Linked DNA regions of Saccharomyces cerevisiae S288C. The gene in region 1 interacts genetically with each later gene. Each region holds a gene or a part of one and is shown on either strand. Other genes may lie near its edges.

The links.
Region 2: mutations in POT1 (region 1) and MEC3 together harm fitness more than expected from each alone (negative genetic interaction), as found in Saccharomyces cerevisiae (2 studies listed by BioGRID).
Region 3: mutations in POT1 (region 1) and PNS1 together harm fitness more than expected from each alone (negative genetic interaction), as found in Saccharomyces cerevisiae (2 studies listed by BioGRID).

Annotation. Positions count from the first base shown.
Region 1 is NC_001141.2:37,694-45,170, reverse strand, and holds POT1 (acetyl-CoA C-acyltransferase), read left to right. Parts: upstream 1-3,726; coding exon 3,727-4,980; downstream 4,981-7,477. Other genes in the region: formin BNR1, read right to left, coding at 1-3,346; SMU2 (Smu2p), read right to left, coding at 5,031-5,738; beta-fructofuranosidase SUC2, read right to left, coding at 6,188-7,477. UniProt on the Saccharomyces cerevisiae protein: Responsible for the thiolytic cleavage of straight chain 3-keto fatty acyl-CoAs (3-oxoacyl-CoAs).
Region 2 is NC_001144.5:711,670-719,348, reverse strand, and holds MEC3 (Mec3p), read left to right. Parts: upstream 1-4,444; coding exon 4,445-5,869; downstream 5,870-7,679. Other genes in the region: GCD7 (translation initiation factor eIF2B subunit beta), read left to right, coding at 1-1,032; ubiquinone biosynthesis protein COQ11, read left to right, coding at 1,371-2,204; GTPase GUF1, read right to left, coding at 2,323-4,260; 40S ribosomal protein eS30 RPS30A, read left to right, coding at 6,191-6,193, 6,624-6,812; YLR287C (uncharacterized protein), read left to right, coding at 7,291-7,679. UniProt on the Saccharomyces cerevisiae protein: Component of the checkpoint clamp complex involved in the surveillance mechanism that allows the DNA repair pathways to act to restore the integrity of the DNA prior to DNA synthesis or separation of the replicated chromosomes.
Region 3 is NC_001147.6:635,199-642,877, reverse strand, and holds PNS1 (Pns1p), read left to right. Parts: upstream 1-4,319; coding exon 4,320-5,939; downstream 5,940-7,679. Other genes in the region: polyphosphatase DDP1, read right to left, coding at 1-137; YRR1 (Yrr1p), read left to right, coding at 886-3,318; YOR161C-C (uncharacterized protein), read left to right, coding at 3,611-3,757; mRNA transport regulator MTR10, read right to left, coding at 6,121-7,679. UniProt on the Saccharomyces cerevisiae protein: Probably involved in transport through the plasma membrane.

The DNA.
Region 1 (7,477 bases):
ACTTCAATTTGATACCCTTAACAATTCTTTTATTCATATGATTGCCTATTTCCGTGATAATAAACATCAAACTTTTAAATTTAGGTGAACGATTTAAGTGTGAAATTGCATCATCAATTTTTTGTAACTTGAAAATCAAATCGTAATAATCTCTCTCGTATGTTGACAATGTCAGCAGACTCTTTGATCTTGCATTCCAATAAAATCTTAAATTGATACACAACTCCAAAAATATTCTGTCAGCTCTTTGTAAGTCACTTACTGCTTTACCATCCTTACCCTGTGAATATGGCTCGTACTTATTAAGCATACTTTTTGGTATATTTACTAACTCTTCTTTACAAAAAAATTTCAGTATGTTAACATTTTGGACAATGTCGTTATCACAGTTCAATACTTTCATAACAAATTCCATATCAGATAATTGGGAAAACATGTGTAAATTAATACCAAATTGCTGAGCCAAATCTCTTGATAAGAATGAAATTTTCTTCAGCTCATTGGAAGACTTGCCATTGTTTGAAGACAAGGCAATTGAGGATTCTGCGTTCCTTTTATTTGCAATCTTAGTCGGACTTTTCATCTTAAAAATATCTTCAATCTGAGAGAATATACCATCAGTTTGTAATTCTTTGATTGTTTCTTGGCGTTGAAACGTGTCTTCCCAAAGTGTGTCTTTGATATCCTCCACCTTATCCCAGTGGATTTGCTTCAATCGCTTTTCAGTTGGAGGTGGTTTTAAATCGGTTGTCGTTGGATTGATAGACACTGAGGAGGAAGAAAGAAGACCATTTGGTAAAGGTGGAGCTGGAGGAGTAACTAAATCGTGATTGGAGGGGCCTTTGTTCATCGACAAGGACTCGGGTAAAGGCGGTGGCGGTGGTGGTGGTGGAACGGCGCCACAAGTTTTAGTTTTAAATAGATCTGGAAGGGGTGGCGGTGCAGGTGCTGCAATACAGGAAACACCATCCGGTTTAGCTTCTGCTTCAGTCAAAAGAGACTGTGGAAGTGGAGGAGGGGGAGGTGGAGGAGGGGGCGGTGGAAGTTGAGGTAGTTTAACAACTTCAGGTACTAGTTGGATTCCATTATCAAGACTATCTGAGGAAAGTCGAGGGAAAAGTTTTGGTGAAGAAGAAACCGAAGACAACACGGGAGACGATTGGTAATTAGGTTGTGTTCCTAGGCTATTTGAAAATTCCAACTCTGAAAGTATCGAATTTAGAGAGACATTTTGCATATTAGTAATATTTTTCATAGAAGGGATATTAAAATTAATGGTTGACGTAGATCTTTGAAATAATGAGTCTTTTGATTTATCTTCGGATTCATTTTGGGACTCATTTTCGTTATTTGCATCAGTTAAATATGATGAAAGGGACGTAACTCTTTTACTTTTTAGTAGACTAGTTGAACGCTTGGGCAGAGAAATTTTTTGCTGCTGCTGTTGCTTTTTTGCTAAATTTTGGAAAATGATATTTCCATGACTATTATTTTTTATTATCGAGCCGGCAATACTCAAGTTGCTACTTGCCAATGAAGGTGGCTGGTCATATAACCTTTGATGCGTGGTAATTTGGTCTAGTCTTTTCTTGGTTGCCTTCAACTGCAGTTTCAGATTTTCAATTTCCTTGGTTTTCAGAGATATCAAAGATTCACTTTCATCTAGTTTTGCTATTAAATGATCTTTATCATGATTTTCTACTAAATTTAATTTTTCATTCAAATGAGAAATCTTAGCATTAAGATCATCAATTTCTGTGACCGCTCTTCTAGCAATTTCATCAGATTGTAGAGAATCCAACAATTTATTAACAGAATCTTGAAAAACATAATCCACATTTTCTGCGGACTCCAAGGTTTCATCAAAAGAAGGATTCGTTGACACTTGAAAGGAATCTATGAGATAAAACAGCAAAGAATTTATCAATTTTAATAGTTTAATAGATTCTGAGTATGGTTTTTGAGAGTCTAAGATTTTCCACAGCGATTGAATAATCTCGTTTATTGGTGCCTCTACGGGACTATCTTTTGCCTTCAATAACAGGCAATTTTCAAGACATAGAGGCTCGCTTTCTATTCTTGCGATATCTTTTGTTGGGTGAAGCGAATTCGTATCGTTGGTAGTTTTTATCATCGAGTCAAATATCGCAGATTCTTTGGATTTGAATTGTTTTATTTGTTCCATGATCACGACACTATTAGGATCATCTTTATAGGCCAGTTCTAAAAATGTGATAGTGTTATGTATATTATTCTTTTTCAAAAAATTCAAAATTTCTAGTGCAGTCTTGTTGTTGAAACCTTGCAGTATGGAGTTTATTAGCAGTAGGAAAGTTGTCGAATAGTCTATTTTTAATTGGTTCCAGTTCAAATAAAGGGATGAATGAATTGCAATATCATCCGCAAGGATTTTGTCAAACCATTCTAGCCAATCGGTGAATAATATGGAAAGCTGGTCCCATATCAACTCACAACCCGTGGAACCCTCAACATACGTTAATAATAAAAGTAACTCCATAGAAAGTAACTGACATTTCAAATTAGAATTTTGATCCGTCAGAAGCTCGGTGAACCAGCGAATTAAAGGCTCAGAATGTAGTGCTCTTATTCTCGCCAGTGGGTTGTTCATCAGTATTTTAAAGCACCGAAGATAAACAAATTGTAATTCCTTGGATATGAGTGGCAAAGTCTTTTCGATCAATGTCGTCAAGTAAATTTCATCCTTGAGAAAAAGTTGCAAAAAGCTTTGCTTTCGCAGGAATTTTTCTAGTTTATATAGAGCCTTCGATAACTTCATGCCACCTGTTGAAAGGTTTCTAACTAGGCCATCCAAAAAGTGTGCGTTTTCAGCTAGTTCATTAGTGGCCAAATGTGTAGAGTATGTCGTGCTCGAAGTCACTTTCTTTTTCCCCCAATGATTGGAACTACGGATTTTACATATCAATAACCATTTCCTTCGTAGAGAGATGTTTTGTAAATTCTTATAAGCAGCCCCCCAAAAAAAAGTTCCATCTTTTAAAAGCTCATCAAACATTCTTTCGACGAGTGATGCGTCCTGAGGCATGCACTTCGGATTAAAATCCATTTCCGATCCGTTCACTTCTTCGGAAACCATTGGTGACGAAGAAACGTCATTAGCTGAGAAATTCTTCTGTTTCATGTATATATGTGATCCTGTACCTTGTTTCTCTAACGCTACACCGACCAACTGCAAGCCAGCGGCAACCAGCCCATCGTTCAAATTCAATTCTTCCAATTTACGGGCTTCGCTGACCCTATCACGCGCGTGAAGTGACAGCGATCTGCGAGGGTAGCGGTACGTCTTCTTGTTCGGGGAAGAGTCCATCGCTGATGATTGTGCTATTTTTTTATCTGCTTTTGTGTCACGATCATCATCACTATGTAATCTTCAAAAGATCAAGAATTTGCTAGTTTTGAACCTATGCCACAAATAGCGAAAAAAGAAAAAAAACTTGACGCGTCAACATGAGGAGGGTAATGATGTGGTAGCGCCGTGTAAGGCGCTATCAAAGGGAAACGGGGATAATAGTATTAACACCGCAGCTTTTTTTTCCTTTCTCCCTCTATTGGTTTCAAATTTATTGGAGTTTTACTAGAAAGAAGAGATATAAATAGGGTATACTTTTGCATCTCAGTTCTATTGAAATCGAATGGTTATTTCTTGTGGCTCTGAGTACAGAGTGAATATAACACTACATAAAAGCAATGTCTCAAAGACTACAAAGTATCAAGGATCATTTGGTGGAGAGCGCCATGGGTAAGGGTGAATCGAAGAGGAAGAACTCGTTGCTGGAGAAAAGACCCGAAGATGTAGTTATTGTGGCTGCTAACAGGTCTGCCATCGGTAAAGGTTTTAAAGGTGCCTTCAAAGATGTAAACACAGACTACTTATTATACAACTTTCTCAATGAGTTCATCGGGAGGTTTCCGGAACCTTTGAGGGCTGATTTGAACTTAATCGAAGAAGTTGCCTGTGGAAATGTTCTCAATGTTGGAGCCGGTGCTACAGAACACAGGGCTGCATGCTTGGCAAGTGGGATTCCCTACTCGACGCCATTTGTCGCTTTAAACAGACAATGTTCTTCAGGTTTAACGGCGGTGAACGATATTGCCAACAAGATTAAGGTTGGGCAAATTGATATTGGTTTGGCGCTGGGAGTGGAATCAATGACCAATAACTACAAAAACGTCAATCCCTTGGGCATGATCTCCTCTGAAGAGCTGCAAAAAAACCGAGAAGCGAAGAAATGTCTAATACCAATGGGCATTACTAATGAGAATGTTGCCGCTAATTTCAAGATCAGTAGAAAGGATCAAGACGAGTTCGCTGCGAATTCATATCAAAAAGCTTACAAGGCGAAAAATGAGGGGCTTTTCGAAGATGAAATTTTACCTATAAAATTACCAGATGGCTCAATTTGCCAGTCGGACGAAGGGCCACGCCCTAACGTCACTGCGGAGTCGCTTTCAAGCATCAGGCCTGCCTTTATCAAAGACAGAGGAACCACAACTGCGGGCAATGCATCCCAGGTCTCCGATGGTGTGGCAGGTGTCTTGTTAGCCCGCAGGTCCGTAGCCAACCAGTTAAATCTGCCTGTGCTAGGTCGCTACATCGATTTTCAAACAGTGGGGGTTCCCCCTGAAATCATGGGTGTGGGCCCTGCATACGCCATACCAAAAGTCCTGGAAGCTACTGGCTTGCAAGTCCAAGATATCGATATTTTTGAAATAAATGAAGCATTCGCGGCCCAAGCATTATACTGCATCCATAAACTGGGCATCGATTTGAATAAAGTAAATCCAAGAGGTGGTGCAATCGCGTTAGGCCATCCCTTGGGTTGTACTGGCGCAAGGCAAGTAGCTACCATACTAAGAGAACTGAAAAAGGATCAAATCGGGGTTGTTAGTATGTGTATCGGTACTGGTATGGGTGCCGCCGCCATCTTTATTAAAGAATAGTTTTAATACTTGATAATAGTTAATATTCTCCCTTTTTATTATGCTCATATTTATATGGTTTTGTAAAAGCTATTACGTAGTTTATCAATTTGTTTATAATTTTCCATTTTCAATATTTCTAACTCACTAACCAAATAGTTTATTTGAGATAATATCCTCCAGTCCTCCTTAACCAATTGACGGGCTTTCCAGTTGAAATTCGCTATCACGGTGTCCATGTAAGAGGAAACTTCTTCATTACTTTTCATCGTTAGTTTTATTGGGGCCTTTGGATAATCCAAAGGTATGTTGAATAAAATTTTCAAAGAAATCTTACCGGAGTCTGTCATGGGGGAGATTCGATAGCCATATGAGGTAACGTGCTTACCCTTTTTAAACAGTTTAAAATCGGATAAGGTGTGAATGCATTGTTCGATTTCTTCTTGCCTTTTTGCGATTTGTTTTCGCTCTTCTACATTAATTTCCTTTGAGTAGTGTAGGGTATTCTTTTTATTAGCTCCATTATTGTTTTTCCGCCTTCTGTTTTTCGCTTGAGATTTCTCGACTCTCACTTCTTCCCCTCCAGTCACAGGTTTAGGTTCATTTTGTTCCTTTGTCTCTGTCTTCTTATTTCTGTTTCGATTTTTATTCCGCTTTTTATTTCCATTTTTAGCTTTATTTGTGCTCTCCTCATTCCCGATTGGAGTTCCTTCGTTTCCCAAACCAGAAGCTTTTCCCTGAGATTTTTTAGCTCCTGTTACAGATAGCTTGGTATCCATTTCCCTCACTACTTCTTTTTGAGAACACTTTTACGTAGAAGACAACGCTTTTTTTTTTTACAATATGGTATACTTCTACTTAATGCTTTTAAATTTTCACATAACTAATACTTTACCCGGTTTCATTGTGTCAGTAACAAAACAGATAAAGGCAAAAAGGTCCATCCTAGTAGTGTAAGGCAACTACATTACGATTGTGGGTTTATTACGTGAAAAAATGATGTCTATTGCAAAGTAGTAAAAATTTTTAAGAGAATTATACTTATATAAAGTACATAAAGAACAAATTCCAGGTAACTGGGGTCGGGAGAAAATAAAAATAAAAATACATTTTCAATGGTTTGGAGGTATTCTTTGAAATCATAAAGTTTTACATTCGTCACTCGTTAGCTAAAGCCCTTTAGAATGGCTTTTGAAAAAAATAAAAAAGACAATAAGTTTTATAACCTCTATTTTACTTCCCTTACTTGGAACTTGTCAATGTAGAACAAATTATCGACACCAGTGGTCATGTTCACAGATCCTAGAGCGTTACCGGTGGTCATGAAGTAGGTATTTGTAGAAACCACATCTCCATCGTTGAAGTACAATTCCAAGATGTTTTGATCCAGTAGGCCGTACACTTTATAGTAACTTAGGTCGTTCTCAGACTTGAATGGTTGGTTGTTGACAGACATTCTGTTTGTGAAATATGGGTTCTCCTTGACAAACTTGACCTTAGAGTTACCACGGTCCAAAAAGAAGGAAGAAGCACTGACTTCAAAACCCATTCTCAAATATTCTTCAGGATCTTCTAAACCCTTGAACCAAAGTGATAAGTCGGCAAAGACGGATTTGGATATGGTTTGTGTGGTGTTAACAGCGTAAACCAACTCAAACTCTAGGGTACCAGTCGAGTTGCTCAAATCGACATTGTAAGAATTGGCCTTAGTTAGAGTTGTGTTAGTAGCAAAACGAGACCAGGGACCAGCATTACTAATGTTCAATATTGGTTCGGCTTTCAAATTGATCAATTCAGTCTCTGGATTAGCTTGATATTCAGTGTTCAAAGAAAACTTGCGGACCAAAGACATGGATGATCTCCATGGGTTAGTTGGGACAAAGGCACTGTACTCCCAGTTTGAAGCCCAGGCAATACCTAATGCTGAACCGTAGGTTGGGTCAGTGTTGAAGAAAGTTTGCAAGGCATAGTAGTCCTTACCAAAATCTACCACTCTAGATTGATTGTCAAACGCTTCAAAATGAGTACCATTGAAGGATCCAACAAAATATTGGTTGAAGGAACCGCCAGCAGGTGCACCTGGGTTGATAGAAATAAACATGACCCAATAAGATTTGGAAGGATCTTGCTCAGTTGGGACTTCAATCAAACCTGGACATTCGTATTGGTAGCCTAAGAAACCTTCATTGGCAAATGCAGATTCTAGCTTCCAGGACTTCAAGTCATCAGAGGAGTAAATTTCAATTTTGTAGTCTTGTGATTTGGCAGCCGTCATAATCCATTTTTGAGAAGGTTCATACCAGAACACCTTTGGATCTCTGAATTGAGTGGAGTTGGCAGCTAAAACAGGGTTCTTTTGGTATTCAGTAAAAGTGTAACCACCATCAAGAGAATAGCTAATGTATTGCTCTTCACTTTCAGGAGTGTTATAAGTCCAAATCGCAACGCATCTTTGTCTTGGATCAATAGTATCATTGAAAAACCCACTCGTGTTGTTGTAATCAACCACCATGGAGCC
Region 2 (7,679 bases), on another chromosome or scaffold:
GCCATCGCCTTGGAAACTTTACAACTGTTAATGCGATTTATCTCTGCAGCTCGTTGGAACCATGTTAATGACCTTATTGAACAAATCAGAGATTTAGGTAATAGTCTAGAAAAAGCTCATCCTACTGCTTTCAGTTGCGGTAACGTAATTAGAAGAATACTGGCTGTTTTGAGGGATGAAGTAGAAGAAGACACTATGAGCACAACTGTCACATCCACATCCGTTGCTGAACCTTTGATTTCCTCTATGTTTAATTTATTACAGAAACCGGAGCAACCTCATCAGAATAGAAAAAATAGTTCAGGGAGCTCTAGTATGAAAACCAAGACTGATTACCGTCAAGTAGCCATTCAGGGTATCAAGGATCTTATAGATGAGATAAAAAACATTGATGAAGGTATTCAGCAAATTGCTATTGATTTGATTCACGATCATGAGATTTTATTAACTCCCACACCTGATTCAAAAACCGTATTAAAATTTCTGATTACTGCTCGCGAACGTAGTAATAGAACATTTACGGTTTTAGTTACAGAGGGGTTCCCTAATAACACCAAGAATGCACATGAGTTTGCCAAAAAATTAGCACAGCACAACATAGAAACCCTAGTAGTCCCAGACTCAGCTGTTTTTGCTTTAATGTCCCGTGTGGGTAAGGTTATTATCGGCACTAAAGCCGTTTTTGTCAATGGGGGGACTATCTCGTCAAATTCAGGTGTATCATCCGTTTGTGAATGCGCCCGAGAATTTAGAACCCCTGTATTTGCTGTTGCAGGTTTGTATAAGCTTTCTCCTCTATATCCGTTCGACGTAGAGAAGTTTGTCGAATTTGGTGGGTCCCAACGTATATTACCTAGAATGGATCCAAGAAAAAGATTAGATACAGTTAATCAAATTACCGATTATGTTCCGCCTGAAAATATTGATATCTACATTACAAACGTCGGTGGGTTCAATCCAAGTTTTATATATCGTATTGCGTGGGATAATTACAAGCAAATTGATGTGCATTTGGATAAAAATAAGGCGTGATGATGTGTCTTTTGTACATTACTCATGAAAATAAATAAAAATCTTGTAGATCAAAACAATTTTTTTATTATTAATTATTAGTATATAATCAGAATATTTACGTATCCTTGAATATGTTAAAAGACTAATACATAAAGAGCATCTTAGCATTAACTTTTTACTTCTCTACAAAGTCTGGCAATTTGACTCATTTTTTTTTTTTAGTTGAGTGTCTCCTCGTAATGCCATCTTGTCGCTTTTGCATAATAGAAAAACAGGAAAACATTGAAAAAATAAAAAAATAAGGGAAATATGTATCGTATACAAAAATACAGCTAAAGCTTGAACTGAAGTAGAAAATGATACCAAAGCTTATAGTTTTTGGAGGCAATGGATTTTTAGGTAAAAGAATTTGTCAAGAAGCAGTGACTTCGGGCTACCAAGTCGTTTCTGTGTCAAGGTCCGGTAAAGCTCCTCATAGCAATGAATTAAATGATAAGCAATGGATGCAGGAGGTCCAATGGACCGCTGCTGACATTTTTAAGCCTGATTCTTACCATGAATTATTGAATAATGCTACTAACGTAGTTCATTCTTTGGGAATCCTCCTAGAAAATGAAAATTATAAGCAAACTCTATCCAAATCCCCTACATATGATTCAAAATCACGCCTTCTATCTTTTGGTGCAGGTCCAAATCCTTTAAAAAAAAGCAGTCCTTATTTTACTTATGAAATGATGAATAAGCAAAGTGCTATTATTTTGGCAGATACATTTAAACAAAAAATCCTAAAGAAAAGCAAAAAGGAGCAAGAAAAAGCAAATCAAAGATCTTTTACGTATATTTCCGCCGATAAAGGTTTCCCATTGATTCCTAGTGGCTATATTAATTCGAAAAGAGAGGCGGAGATTGAACTAGAAAAAATGCAGAGATATTTCAGGCCTATTATTGTGAGACCCGGTTTTATGTTCGATGAGCACAGAAATGCAATTGGACCACGGTCTTTTATTCATACTGCACTTGAACTACTTTACTGCGGTAACAAATTTCTATTGAGAAATAAGCTGCAGCTTTTGAACGACTTGATTAGGCCAACAGTATCCACTCAGCAGGTAAGCAAATCCGTCCTGAAAAATATCGAAAACCCAGATTTTAAAGGGGTAGTTACACTTGAGGAAATACTTAAAGCATAATGATTATGCCATTATTATATTTATTAATCTATTTTTCTCTTTTATTTACAAATGAAAAGTACTTAACTATATACAGCTTGGTATAATTTTAAAATGGTAATAACAATAATATGCAATGCTAACGGCGCAAAAAAGCCTGATATGCCTCTTGGTTGATTTGAATATTACCTACAGTTTTCATATGCTTTTTACCCTCTTTCTGTTTCGCCAAAAGTTTTTTCCTTCGTGAGACATCAGAAGCATGCAGCTTTTGGAGAACATCTTTTCTTCTTGCCTTAATTGTTTCTCTAGCTATTATCTTGTTATTAGCTCGGGCCTGTATAACGACCTCATATAATTGTGATTTAACATACTCTTTAAACTTCTTCACCCATTCTCTACCCACTCTCTCTACTTCCGATTTATGAAGTACTCTTGACAAGGCATCAATCGCATTTCCATTAACCAAGAGTTGCAGTTTTACAACATCAGAAATTCTATAGCCAGCATCCTCATAATCTAAAGAGGCAAATCCTCTGGACACCGATTTTAATTTACCAAAAAAGTCATCAACTAGATGCGATAGCGGAAGGTAATATTTTAACATCACTTGTCCATTGGTGTTTAGGTATGTTATATCAATTTGTTCTCCTCTATTACTATCGCATAAGCGTATGACACTACCTAAATATTCCTGGGGCAATGTCATAACTGCCTCTATAAACGGTTCATGGAAAGCAGCAACGTTCACCCTCTTTGTTGCTCCGTCTGGAAACTCATCCGGATTTGTTATAAGCTTTTTCTTACCATCGGTAAACTCCACCAAATAAGGAACTGTGGGTTGAGTAATGATCAATTTCGAACCATACTCTTTTTCTAGTCGTTCACGAAAAACAGATGCATGTAAAGATCCTAAAAAGCCCAATCTCCAACCTTGACCCAAAGCATTGGAGGTCTCACGTTCCAAAGTAACTGACCTATCGTTGAGGACAAGTCTACTCATATCATCATCCATGGCTTTGAATTCAATCCCATCAGCCGGGAAAGCACCCACAAATACCATGGGTTTTTGTTCTTCAAATCCGGGAAGTACTTCCGTTTCATTTACTTTACTTAAATGCATTATAGTATCTCCAATTTTTGCTTCTTTAGAATCCTTCATTCCCAGCACTAGATAGCCAACCTGTCCTGTCTTTAGCGTACCTGTAGAGGTTCTGTCAGGATACATGATTCCAATATCTTTGACTTCGTATTTTTCTTTTGTCTGAGCACAAATAACCTTGTCATTTTTACGTACAGAACCATCAACAATATTCACTAGAAGAACCGCTCCTAAGTATGCGTCGTACCAAGAATCCACTAATAATGCTCTGAAGGGTTTATCAGGCCTCCCCGTTGGTGGTGGTATACGATCAATTATAGCCGGTAGTAACAGTTCCTCTACATTTAATCCTGTTTTAGCACTTACTCCGATTATATCTTCCTCGGGGAGCTCAAAGTTATTCACTATCTGATCCTTTACCTGTTTAACATCTGTAAAATTTAGATCAATTTTGTTTATTACTGGAATTAATTTCAATCCTAAACTGAAGGCTAAATAAAAATTAGCAACCGTCTGTGCTTGTATGCCTTGTGATGCATCAACCAAAAGAATTGCTCCCCCACAAGACGCATATGACCGTGAAACTTCACCTCTGAAGTCCACATGTCCTGGCGTGTCAATTAAATGTAAAAGATAGTTTTTTCCGGTCCTCTTATCTTTATAAAACATCGAACATGTTTGCGCCTTTATAGTAATACCTCTTTCTCTTTCGACTTCCAATTTATCCAAAACTTGTTTATTTCTCGCATTGGGATCGATGACATGCGTTATTTCCAGCAGTCTGTCACTTAAGGTTGACTTCCCATGGTCAACATGGGCAACTATAGAGAAATTTCTGTAATTTTCGAGAGGTATTTGCTCGATCTGTGCTTGTAACTTCTGTGCAGGGGTAGTCGTATGGTTATATCGTAAGAAATATGCGTGTCGTTTATAACACCGTATATGTCTCACTGGCCTAATTCTAAATTTCAGCATTTTTATGTGCAACTAGTTTCCCATATTCATGGCTCTTTTTCAATGGTTGCGGCTACAAATATAGGCGAGTTATACTTGCCCTCGTCTATTATTCAACTTTTTTATTTACATCAAAATAGCAACATAAACATACGGAGATGATGAGAGAAAAAAGAAGACAAAAGGTGTGTCTTAATTCAGTTAAATGAAATTAAAATTGATAGTAAATGGTTGTGAAGCACCTGATGATTATAAATTGCTAAGAACTACTATCAATACAGTTGCTTCGCTACGAAAGACGGCTATCTTAAGATTTAATAGTGAAAGATTGACAATAATATCCACTCCAAAATCATCACTCAACAGCAGTAACAACGGTACAATATTACGAGGGGATACTGGTCAGCTTTGGTGTACCATTCCTCATGATGTATTCAGATTATATACAGTTATATCAGCTCGCGAGCTCAATACAATAACAATGGAGTGTAATTGTGATTCTTTATTGAGTGTGTTTAAAAGGTATGATCGAGTAATGAACCAAGGATCTTCCTCTAATATGACTATAAAACTACAGTCAATGCCAGAATGGAATACAAATAACGGAACACTTTCAGGAGGAACAGCAGGAGGCGTAGATACAACCTCAAAACCGAACCCCATTTGTGCTCTAGGTATAACATTCGAAGAAATTGTACATACTAGCGGCCCAAATGACGCTATAGTTATGAATGGGGGAGTGGATGAGCACAATGGTTTACCAACCACAGTAGGCACAGGAAATCTACTCGCAAGCAATAAGGTTATCATGCATTCGTTCAAAGTACCTGTCAAACTATTATTCCGAGCACAAGATACGCGAATACAAGAGCCAATGATTAACTATATTCAACTGATGATGTACAAGCTGCCACCAATATCGGGCGAGTTTGGCTCCGCCTTCCACGGGTTTATTAGACGTGTTGAACGGTACAGTAATGTCAACCACATTCATTTAATGGGAGTCAAAAAAAAGGAGCATGGAAATGAAGGTGATGATGTAGAACTTAAGATAATTGTGAATGAATTAGATTGGCATTTGGAAATATGCTGGAATGGACCCTTAGACTCTGTGATACAACGCCAAGAAGGGCTCACTGACAATCCTTCCCAAAACCAGCACATCGACACAGACGGCCGGCAGGAGGAAGGATCTCTTCCGATTATCGAAGCGGATAAACCGATGTCTTCACTATATACCAATACTAGAGATCGAGAGATGGAAGAAAATATCCGCTACGATGAAGATTTATTAAGAATTGAGGATAGCTCGATCGCAGATACGCGGGGAAACATTTACACAGCTGATACTAGCGGTGATACTGAATTTAATGACATATCCGTTATGGTGGAAAAGGCTGAACAGGAAAGTTCGTCCACACATGAAGTAATCATCCGTTGCAAAGATTGGAAGGTGTGTTCCAAGTTATACGCTGCATTTGAAGAAGTTGTTTTGGCGATTTCTCACGACGAATCCTGCGTATTCCACTGTTCGTTGGATCGTGGTAGCTTGGAAGATAGCGAAGATGTGGAAAAACCAAGGGAAAGAGGACAAATCATATATTATATAGCAAGATCGAAGGGCTTGTAAACCCTACAGCGGTACATTTCTTTGCTACGTTGCTAAGGAAACTCTTTAAATCTGACATGGCTGAGAACTGCAGAGTTGCAGAGTTGCAGACTATCACATCCGTACATATGTATAAAAAAATCCGTGCTTTACATACTAACTGCTTTTCTTTTTTCCGTTCGAAAAAAAAAAATGTCGTGAGGTTGTCGGAAACCTCAGAAAAAATAGATAGAACAAAACAGCCTTACGAACGGTATGTTGCATTTTAAAGGCTACATGAACTGCACATTAAATTTGCCACTGTAATAATCTTCCATATCCCCATACAAAAACTACGCAAATATGGTACGTAATGCCTCATTAGGATTTTAAAATATGAAAAAAATGGACGTTTCAGCGAGGAATGAATAACAAGAAATAGCTAATTTGAATATATTACTGGTGTTTCATATCTATATATACCGCAGAAAAAGAAATAAAACGCAATATATCTTTAAACTGGCTCCACCCTGAGAATATGATAGGAAACTTTTTAAATTTGAGTTCTGTTACATCAAAAACGTAATTGCTTGACACAGATTTTTCGAGGGCAACAGCGTGGACTTAACATAATGTCGAGTTTAATAACAACATTTTTTGACGGAGAGTTAAAAAGGCTTTGAGAAAATAGCAGAGTGAAGTTTATTTTTAGCATCCTTGCTGATACGCCAAATAATTCAAAAATTCACTATACTAACATGGTCATTAATTTTTAATATTAATATTATTTATTTAGGCTAAAGTTCATGGTTCTCTAGCTCGTGCTGGTAAAGTCAAGTCTCAAACACCAAAGGTTGAAAAAACCGAAAAGCCAAAGAAGCCTAAGGGTCGTGCTTACAAAAGATTATTGTACACCAGAAGATTCGTTAACGTTACCTTGGTTAACGGTAAGAGAAGAATGAACCCAGGTCCATCCGTCCAATAAGAAAATTAACAGTTGTGGAAAAGGAGCTTAAAAGTAACAAGAAACAAAATAGCAGTCATGCCATCTTTACTTCAAGATAGTTTTTGACTTGTATTTGTATTTCCGTTATGCGTTTTTTACTTTAAATATAAAGCAGTATTGAAATTATGTAAGTAGTGTTAACTATAAATTATTTCTTTAGGACTTTAACTTCGCAAAATTATGCTATTCATATTATCGATTTACTTCTTTGCTGTCTTGGTGTGATGCTTTTATTAATAAGGAGGATCTTGCCGTACCTAGGGTTGGCAAACGTTTTTCTAGTTGTTTTTGAATGGGCGCTTCATAATGTGGCAATGAAAAAAAAAAAACTAGAAAAAAACTGCAATGATCTTGACGATGACATGAAGCCTCCTTTTAACAAAATCCATTGAGGTCAACAAGCATCACCAGAGACGCCTATTATAAACTTTATAAGAGAAATACCAGTTATACAATAATGTCTACTGGAAGCAGTGATAGAAAGGATGACGTCAAATTATTGGAACTGCTGAATTCTATAGATGAACAGTTTTTAGTGCCATACAAAAAGCCGGAAGACTTGCGTAAAATCTCCTCTACTACCAAACTACAAGGTTCCACCCCAACTAAGGAACTAGACAAATTAGCCTCTGTATTGAAGGCACATTGCACAAAAATAGGTATTGTTTGCAAGCCAGGAACTTTTGATAACAATCATAAAGTTGTGATTACCGAAATCCAAAATTTTAGTAGGCCATTATTCTACTTACTAAGTTTATTCCCTTTGTTTTACAATAACAAGGATTGCCCCAAATACTTTACAGACCAACTGGATGAAAGTACGCTACAATTGCTCGATGGCTTGAG
Region 3 (7,679 bases), on another chromosome or scaffold:
TGCTTCTTGTCGGGTGTTAAACATATGCAGCCAGCAACTAATCTTGCACCTGTAACGGGTGAGTAAACCTGGTTTTCTCTTCCTTCACGTGCTGTCTCAGAACGTACTGGACCATGATTATCCGCGGTTTTGCCCATTTTGTGTTTCCCCACGCTCTTATACTCCTACGTACTCACTGTTCCTGACCTTTCAGGCGTTATTTCAGTGTGATTTCATGTCTTAAAGTTGAGGCTTCCCTTTACACTATTTACCTCCGCGAGACGTTTGAGAATTAAGCCGCACGTGCTCGCCGCAGATGTTCTTTCAACGACAAGAGAACACCATGCTCCTACTATTTACGCATTATTTACACAGTATACCTTTCTGATGATGAAGTTTGAAGGTTTAAATTCTGGGCAGTAGCTGTTTTTACGGTTGTCTCAATATTTCTCATTCTGCTTTATAATCACGGGAGTATGACAGCATTACCAATCTCTATCAAGATGAAGAAAGATGAGCATGATCGTTTTAAGCTCACATGGAAGCTGTAGTTATTACCAGTATATCCTCTTTATATATAGCGAATGTAGATTTCTGCCAGTATCATACTGGCAGAAATCATAGTGAACGGAGTTAAATCCGCGGAAATTAGAAAAACGTTAAAAGGTTCCATGCCATATTACTAATGGGGTAGAGGCTGATATACGGGGAAAAGGATAACAATACCAAGACATTTATAGTATTCCACATCACTAGACGTATGTAATAGACAACTTCCCCTTGGAATTACCAAAACGCCAAAAATTCGGAATTACAAGAGAAAAGTTAGATCAAAGGAACAACAAGATCAACGAGAAAGTGGGAAAGTTTATTGCCCTCAGCCGTGCCAATAAGAATAGCGTCACAATGAAAAGAAGAAGCGATGCTTTGTTGGGAAGTTTCCAGGCCACCAACGTTACGCCGCCAAGCGATAATAGTAATAGTACGGCCGGTGGAGCCAATGGAAGTAACTCAGGAACACCAACTTCTACTAGCGGTAAGAAGAGAAACAAGCTTATAAAATCTTGTGGCTTTTGCAGAAGGAGAAAACTTCGTTGTGATCAGCAAAAACCTATGTGTTCTACATGCATTTCTAGAAACTTAACAACCTGTCAATATGCTGAAGAATTCAACAAAAACATCGAAAAGAAAGCTACCTATGGTCCCTATCCTAACGCCGATTTACTTAAGAAAGTTGAAGAACTAGAAAACAAAATACGTATTCTAGAAGCTGAAAAAAACACTAATTCGTCTGCGAGCTCCATGTACACTTCGCCAAATTTCCCTCCTTTAGGCACTAGTGTAGGTAGAGGTTCTACTGAAACTTCATCTCCATTACCCGATGGTGTAATAAATCCATATGCCGACCGGTACTACCTACAAAGTAAACATTCCGGAAGATCAACACTATACGGCCCCACTTCTATGAGAACCCAAATTGCAAATAGTAATTGGGGGTTCATTGAAAAATATAAACAATTATGGGCGAAGGTTAAAGTAGAAAGAAATAAATGGAAGCAAAACAACCAAAAAACGATGTGCAGGGAACTAGGCCTTTTGGATGAGTCGGATTGGCAGCCAGATCCATTAATCAAACAGATATGTCGTTTCCTACCATCATATAACAAAGCTTTGTCTATTTTAGATGATTTCTTTAATGATGGAGCATGCAATGAGATCAACGTGATTCTTGATAAGGCAAAAGTTAGAAGAGACTTTTTAGATTATTTCATGCCCGAAAAAGAGGTAAAGGCGGAAGGTGACAGATCCATAGTTTATATTTTATCCAATCCAAAGAAAAATTATTACAAAGCTGCTGTGATACTATTAATCCTATGTCTGAAATACTTCCATACAGATGTCCCAACCCCAATTGAGAAGTTCTTTACTTTACTAAAGGGGGCCTCCACCGCTAAGGTGTTCTACATTGAGCGTGCACAAATGTTAATACTTTTCTACTACCATCGTGAAACATATTCATTCGGTGGAGATGGCTCCGATTTGGTTAATATAAATGAATGTTTAGTTACTACGGTTACTACAATAGGGTTGCATTTAAACATTAGAGAAACTTTCAAGGAACATGAGGTTTTTATGGGTAGCATCGAAAGTTTAGAAAATGTCTGGTTAATGGCAATATTTATCGATTATAACATATCTTGTAACGTTGGTAGACCCTTATTGATTAACAAATTTTATCTAGACGAAAACCAAGATCATTGCATATTGAATAGTAAAAGTAAAACATATGAGGGGAAGCTGAAAAGATATTTAAAACTTACAAGGCCAATGTTGTTAACTCTTTATGATAGAGATAAATTCCCGGATTTGAAAGCTTATTCCAAGCGAATTATCAATTTTGTAGAAGAAGAACTTGGTCCACTTGGACATTACACAGGTGAAAATATATCGGAAGAAGTTCCATTAAGGGAAAGTAGAATTTTAAGTATGGCAGTCGGACTATTATTGTCGTTTTATGCACTAATACATTCTGTGCTGAAAGTCAGAAACATAGAATCCAAAAATAATACGTTTCAATTGGTTTTGATCAATTTTTCCATCATTGTGAATACCACAATTCGATGCTATCGTATCGACAAAGCACTTTACCCAGAGAAATTCGAAGCCTCCAACCCGCACTTACCGCCACATATGGCGTTATCAATGAGCCTCACGGCAGGGCTTTTTTCCAAAACATTGGTGTTTTTTTGTTCTCTGATCTACTTTAAGTTGACGCTTTTCGAAAATGGACTATGTCTATCCAACGATATGGAAGTTGGATGGTCGGATTTGACGAAATTGACTGTTCCTTTAGACAAGGATCTATCTTTAGGTACAGCAATGAGCTTGTACTCGTCAATCTTCGATCGCTTGTTCACGGTCGGAAATAAAGAATTAATACGCACAATGCATAGATCATCACAATTTGTGATAGAGCTAGCTATTGAAAGGACCTATAGGACTATTCTTGGCAACGTTATTGAATTCAGAAAGTTGACCGAGGAAACATGGCTAGCACAAATCAAACAAGAACTAGATCCGCAGAGCGATAATCCATCATCAGAAGCTAAAATTGTGAGTGATAGGCAGCGGGATCTCAGCCTTGCAGTTCCAACGCCCACGCCCTCAATAATTCCAATGTTACCCTCGCCTGGTGAAACTAAGAACCATGCAAAGAGTCAATCAGAGATCATTCAGATGCTGACAGATGAATTTTGGGCAAATTATAACTCAGGCTGGGAAGAGTTGATTAATCAATCTGAATTTTCCACTCTTTTCGATGATTACAAAGACAATTAATGCTAAGTCGAGGCAATCTCGCGGCGCGACTACTTTGAAGCCTTTTTTTAGTTCTTTTTTATGATCAAAATGTTTATATAATTACCCAGATTATCAACCCACTTCGATGATGGGCCGCACCTGACAGAAAAAAATGAATCAACTGGCTACTAAAGATGGTACAAAAGTTCACTTTATTCAGATATAGAATTGCTGAATCGCTGCTTACCGCCATACGCTTGACTACTTTTACACCCGTACACCACACATACAACCGTACGACTACTTTTCATGCAACAGCGTGCGTTTCGACATGTCTTACACACGAGTAGATCATCCCACTGGAAAAATGGCTTGTCACCTGAGGCAGATTTTGGCAAGCCCACTGTTTTTCGCAAATTATGTACTACATGCAGCCATTCACTACCCTTCGAGCGACATACGCGGCGACATCCTGTAGAGCAATGTTGTCCTTACCAAGACGTCTTGATGAAGGATAAGCATACGCGAAGAGATTTCCTCTCGGAGAGCCTGCAGGGAGCGGCGCACCTCGCCAGCGGAGTTATCACACGTAATGGTACTGAGTGAGAGACCCCGCCCGACACCGCACGGCCATTTGCAGAAAGAAAAACAAAGTCCACTACGGCTAATTACTGCAGAATGCTTTTTTTTCTTTTTTTTTGTGGTTGGTATGTTCCCTTCTAACAGGATTCTTCCTTCGGTAGATCCTTGAGGGGTTTAAGGGGTTTTCTGTTTGCGTAATGGCGTAATTGCCAGCTATATATAACATTATCATCACATATATATCCTTATACGTAGCTTGCCCTTATATATATATTGATATGCGGATATTCGTTGAATGTAGTTCAGTCGTAATCGCTACTTATTGGTAATCATAGCAATTGAATGCTTCTATATTCCTTTCTTACTTTTTTTAATTGCGCATTATAAAAAACTTGAAGGTGCATATTTCCGATTAGGGCCATCAATAGTGACCATAATTATCGGTACATTAATACGTCATGCCATTGAATGAAAAATACGAGAGGCCTCCGCAACCTCCTCCAGCATATGATCCCAACCATAGGCCGCCCAGTTCTTCCGAGAACTCTGCCGCGGCGAATGTCAACGATGGCCAGACGCCGTACCATTTTAGACAGGATCAATATTACAATCTAAATTCCAAAACGAGTGGGGCTCCTATAGGGAGCTTCGACGAGGCCTTTCCTACTGAAAATGACAACAAGCCCAGGTGGAACGATTGGCCATTTACCATTTTTTTCCTATGCACGGTAGGCGGATTCATCGCCATTGCTGCCATAACCTTAAGAGCGTGGTCCCAAACCTATAGCAGTACGGGTTCCGGAATATACGATGGTGTGAATACTGGTACGCTGAACACCAATGCTGCCATCCTGCTAGTTTTCGTGTGCATTATTGCCCTAGTATTCTCCGTTTTGGGCCTCACACTTTGTCGAATTTTTCCGAAGCAGTTTATATATTGCGGTATGGTCATCAACCTAGTGGCTTCTCTTGGGACTGCCATCATGTACATGTCTTTGAGGTACTGGTCTGCAGGTATTGTGTTTTTAGTCTTCACGTTCATGACCGCGTGGTGCTACTGGGGTATGAGGTCTAGAATTCCCCTTTCTGTGGCGGTATTGAAAGTCGTCGTCGATGCCATGAAGAAATGCCCACAGATCTTCTTTGTTTCATTTGTTGGAGCGCTAGTTGCTAGTGCGTTTGGGTTTCTCTTCTCAGCAGTCATTGTGGCTACGTACATAAAGTACGATCCTAATAGCTCGAATGGCGGCTGTGACGTTTCTGGTGGCAGCTGTTCGCATTCCAAATTGATTGGTGTTTTGGTTGTGGTTTTTTTCTGCGGCTATTATATCTCTGAAGTAATAAGAAACGTCATACATTGTGTTATTTCTGGCGTCTTTGGCAGCTGGTATTATATGTCAAAGTCTGACCAAGGAATGCCAAGGTGGCCCGCATTTGGAGCATTGAAGAGAGCCATGACTTACTCGTTCGGTTCCATTTGCTTTGGGTCCTTGCTAGTCGCTTTGATCGACCTGTTGAGACAAATATTGCAAATGATCAGACACGATGTTACCTCCAGCGGTGGCGGTCAAATTGCCATCCAGATTTTGTTTATGGTGTTTGACTGGATTATCGGCTTTCTGAAGTGGCTCGCCGAGTATTTCAATCATTATGCATACTCGTTCATCGCTCTTTATGGTAAACCGTATTTAAGAGCGGCCAAAGAAACCTGGTATATGTTAAGAGAAAAGGGAATGGACGCCCTAATCAATGATAATTTAATTAACATTGCACTGGGTCTATTTTCAATGTTTGCTAGTTATATGACCGCTTTGTTCACGTTCTTGTATCTAAGGTTTACCTCGCCTCAATACAATTCGAACGGCGCTTACAACGGCGCCCTAATGGCATTCTCATTTGTTATTGCTTTACAGATTTGCAACATTGCAACAGAAGCCATTAGATCCGGTACTGCAACTTTCTTTGTTGCTCTTGGTAATGACCCGGAGGTCTTCCATCATTCTTACCCTCATAGGTTTGATGAGATTTTTAGGGCATATCCTGATGTACTCAGAAAATTGAGTCACCAGAATGTGTGAAGAGATGTTTATCATATGTCACTATTTCTCCTTGTTCTTCTTAACAATTCTATATTTAATTACAATATTTTAATACTTAATTTTTTCTACTTCAATTACCTTTAAGTTCTATCTTTATTAAATTGTTTATTTTGTTTTTATACATTCTGTGCAGATTAACAATATGCTATTTATTAAATGACTATTCAAACCTCGAATTGATATTCTTTCTTGAATACCATCCAACAAACGCCCTAATTCCTTCCCTCACCTTTCTGTAATCCTTTGAATTCAACCCCTCAACCACGGCCTTCGCCAAATTATCTCTTTCATTAAGGGTTACTTGGCCAAGTTGTTCCACCACTTTGTAAATCCAATCGATGCAAATAGTGGCATCGTTGTTGTTTGCCTCTGTCAATATCCTTAAACATTTTACAATACAACTGATGGCATCTGAATGAGCGGTGTTTTCAAAAGTAGTAACCAGCCCGATGAATAACACTAATATCAATTGGTTACCGTGGGCTATCACGACTTCGTTAATAACTTGCTTCCTCCATTCATCTGGAACAATCTCGATGGACACTGTTGAGATCGGTGGAGTCTTGAACCCCCAGGATATGATATCATCTAAGCAACGCAAGATACATATGTAAGCATCGTAGTTATCAAGCTTATTAACACACTCGAGGGCAACATTCAGTACGGGGCCTAGAAGCTCTGTTGAATTCAAAAATGCGCCAGGATAAAACATTATCAAGTCTGAAATTAATGAGAAAAAATCGATTATTGCCTCATGATAATCGTTTAATTGAAGTTTATCAAACTTGTTGAAATTCAGTATGAACGTCTCGCATTGGGAGAGGGCAAATTTCCAGACAGCATCTTTCAGACTCGGGGATATGGGGAATGATTCATCGTCACCAAATATAACAATAAGGGAACCAGAACACCACAGATAGGAACCGAATCCAGTCGTTAAATAACCTTGGATTAGAAATTCGGCAACAGAAGGTAATATTGGCTCGCAAAATACATGAAATCTCTCAAAAATTCTGCGTAGCAATTTAGCTACTCTTTCTACGATAATACTATCAGTCATTGCACCTGCATCAACTAGCAGAGTTCTTAATGCCTTCCAAATAAATTCTATCCTGGGGAGTAAAGGTTCCGATCCTTGCTGAGGATAATTGTATCTCGGTTTCAATTCTTCAAAAAGCGCATATAGCAAATCAATCTTATCAGCAATCTGTGGAGCCAAGAGCGTTGGATTTGCTTTCCATTGAGGAATCAAAGCCTCGATTTGTCGCAAATTATCATCTACGAGCTTTTGAAATATTACTGAAACTTTGGCCTCTGGCTGATTATTTATTACTGCACTTAATCCTTGACATAGTTCAAATTGTGACTCAATATCAATCGAACTCTGCACGTTGAGGAAGAAATTAATCAACTGATCAATATACCCAACTAATAGTTTAGAGCAGTCCGAACAGAAGAACATTAATGCATGTGATGATGCAGTGATTATACTTTGCATATCCGATGAACCCTCATGCAGTTGAAAACCGTTAAAAATATATTGCAATTGAACTTCTAGTAGTTCTGGATGCTTGGCTGTCCATTCGGTATATCTACCAAGAACTAATGTTGATGCATACCTAATCTTGGCCTGCTCTGGAAGGTTACAAATGATTTTAATGATTTCTGGCAATATAGTGTTTTCAGTCAACGAAATTTCTTTAGCCATAGTCCTCAGGG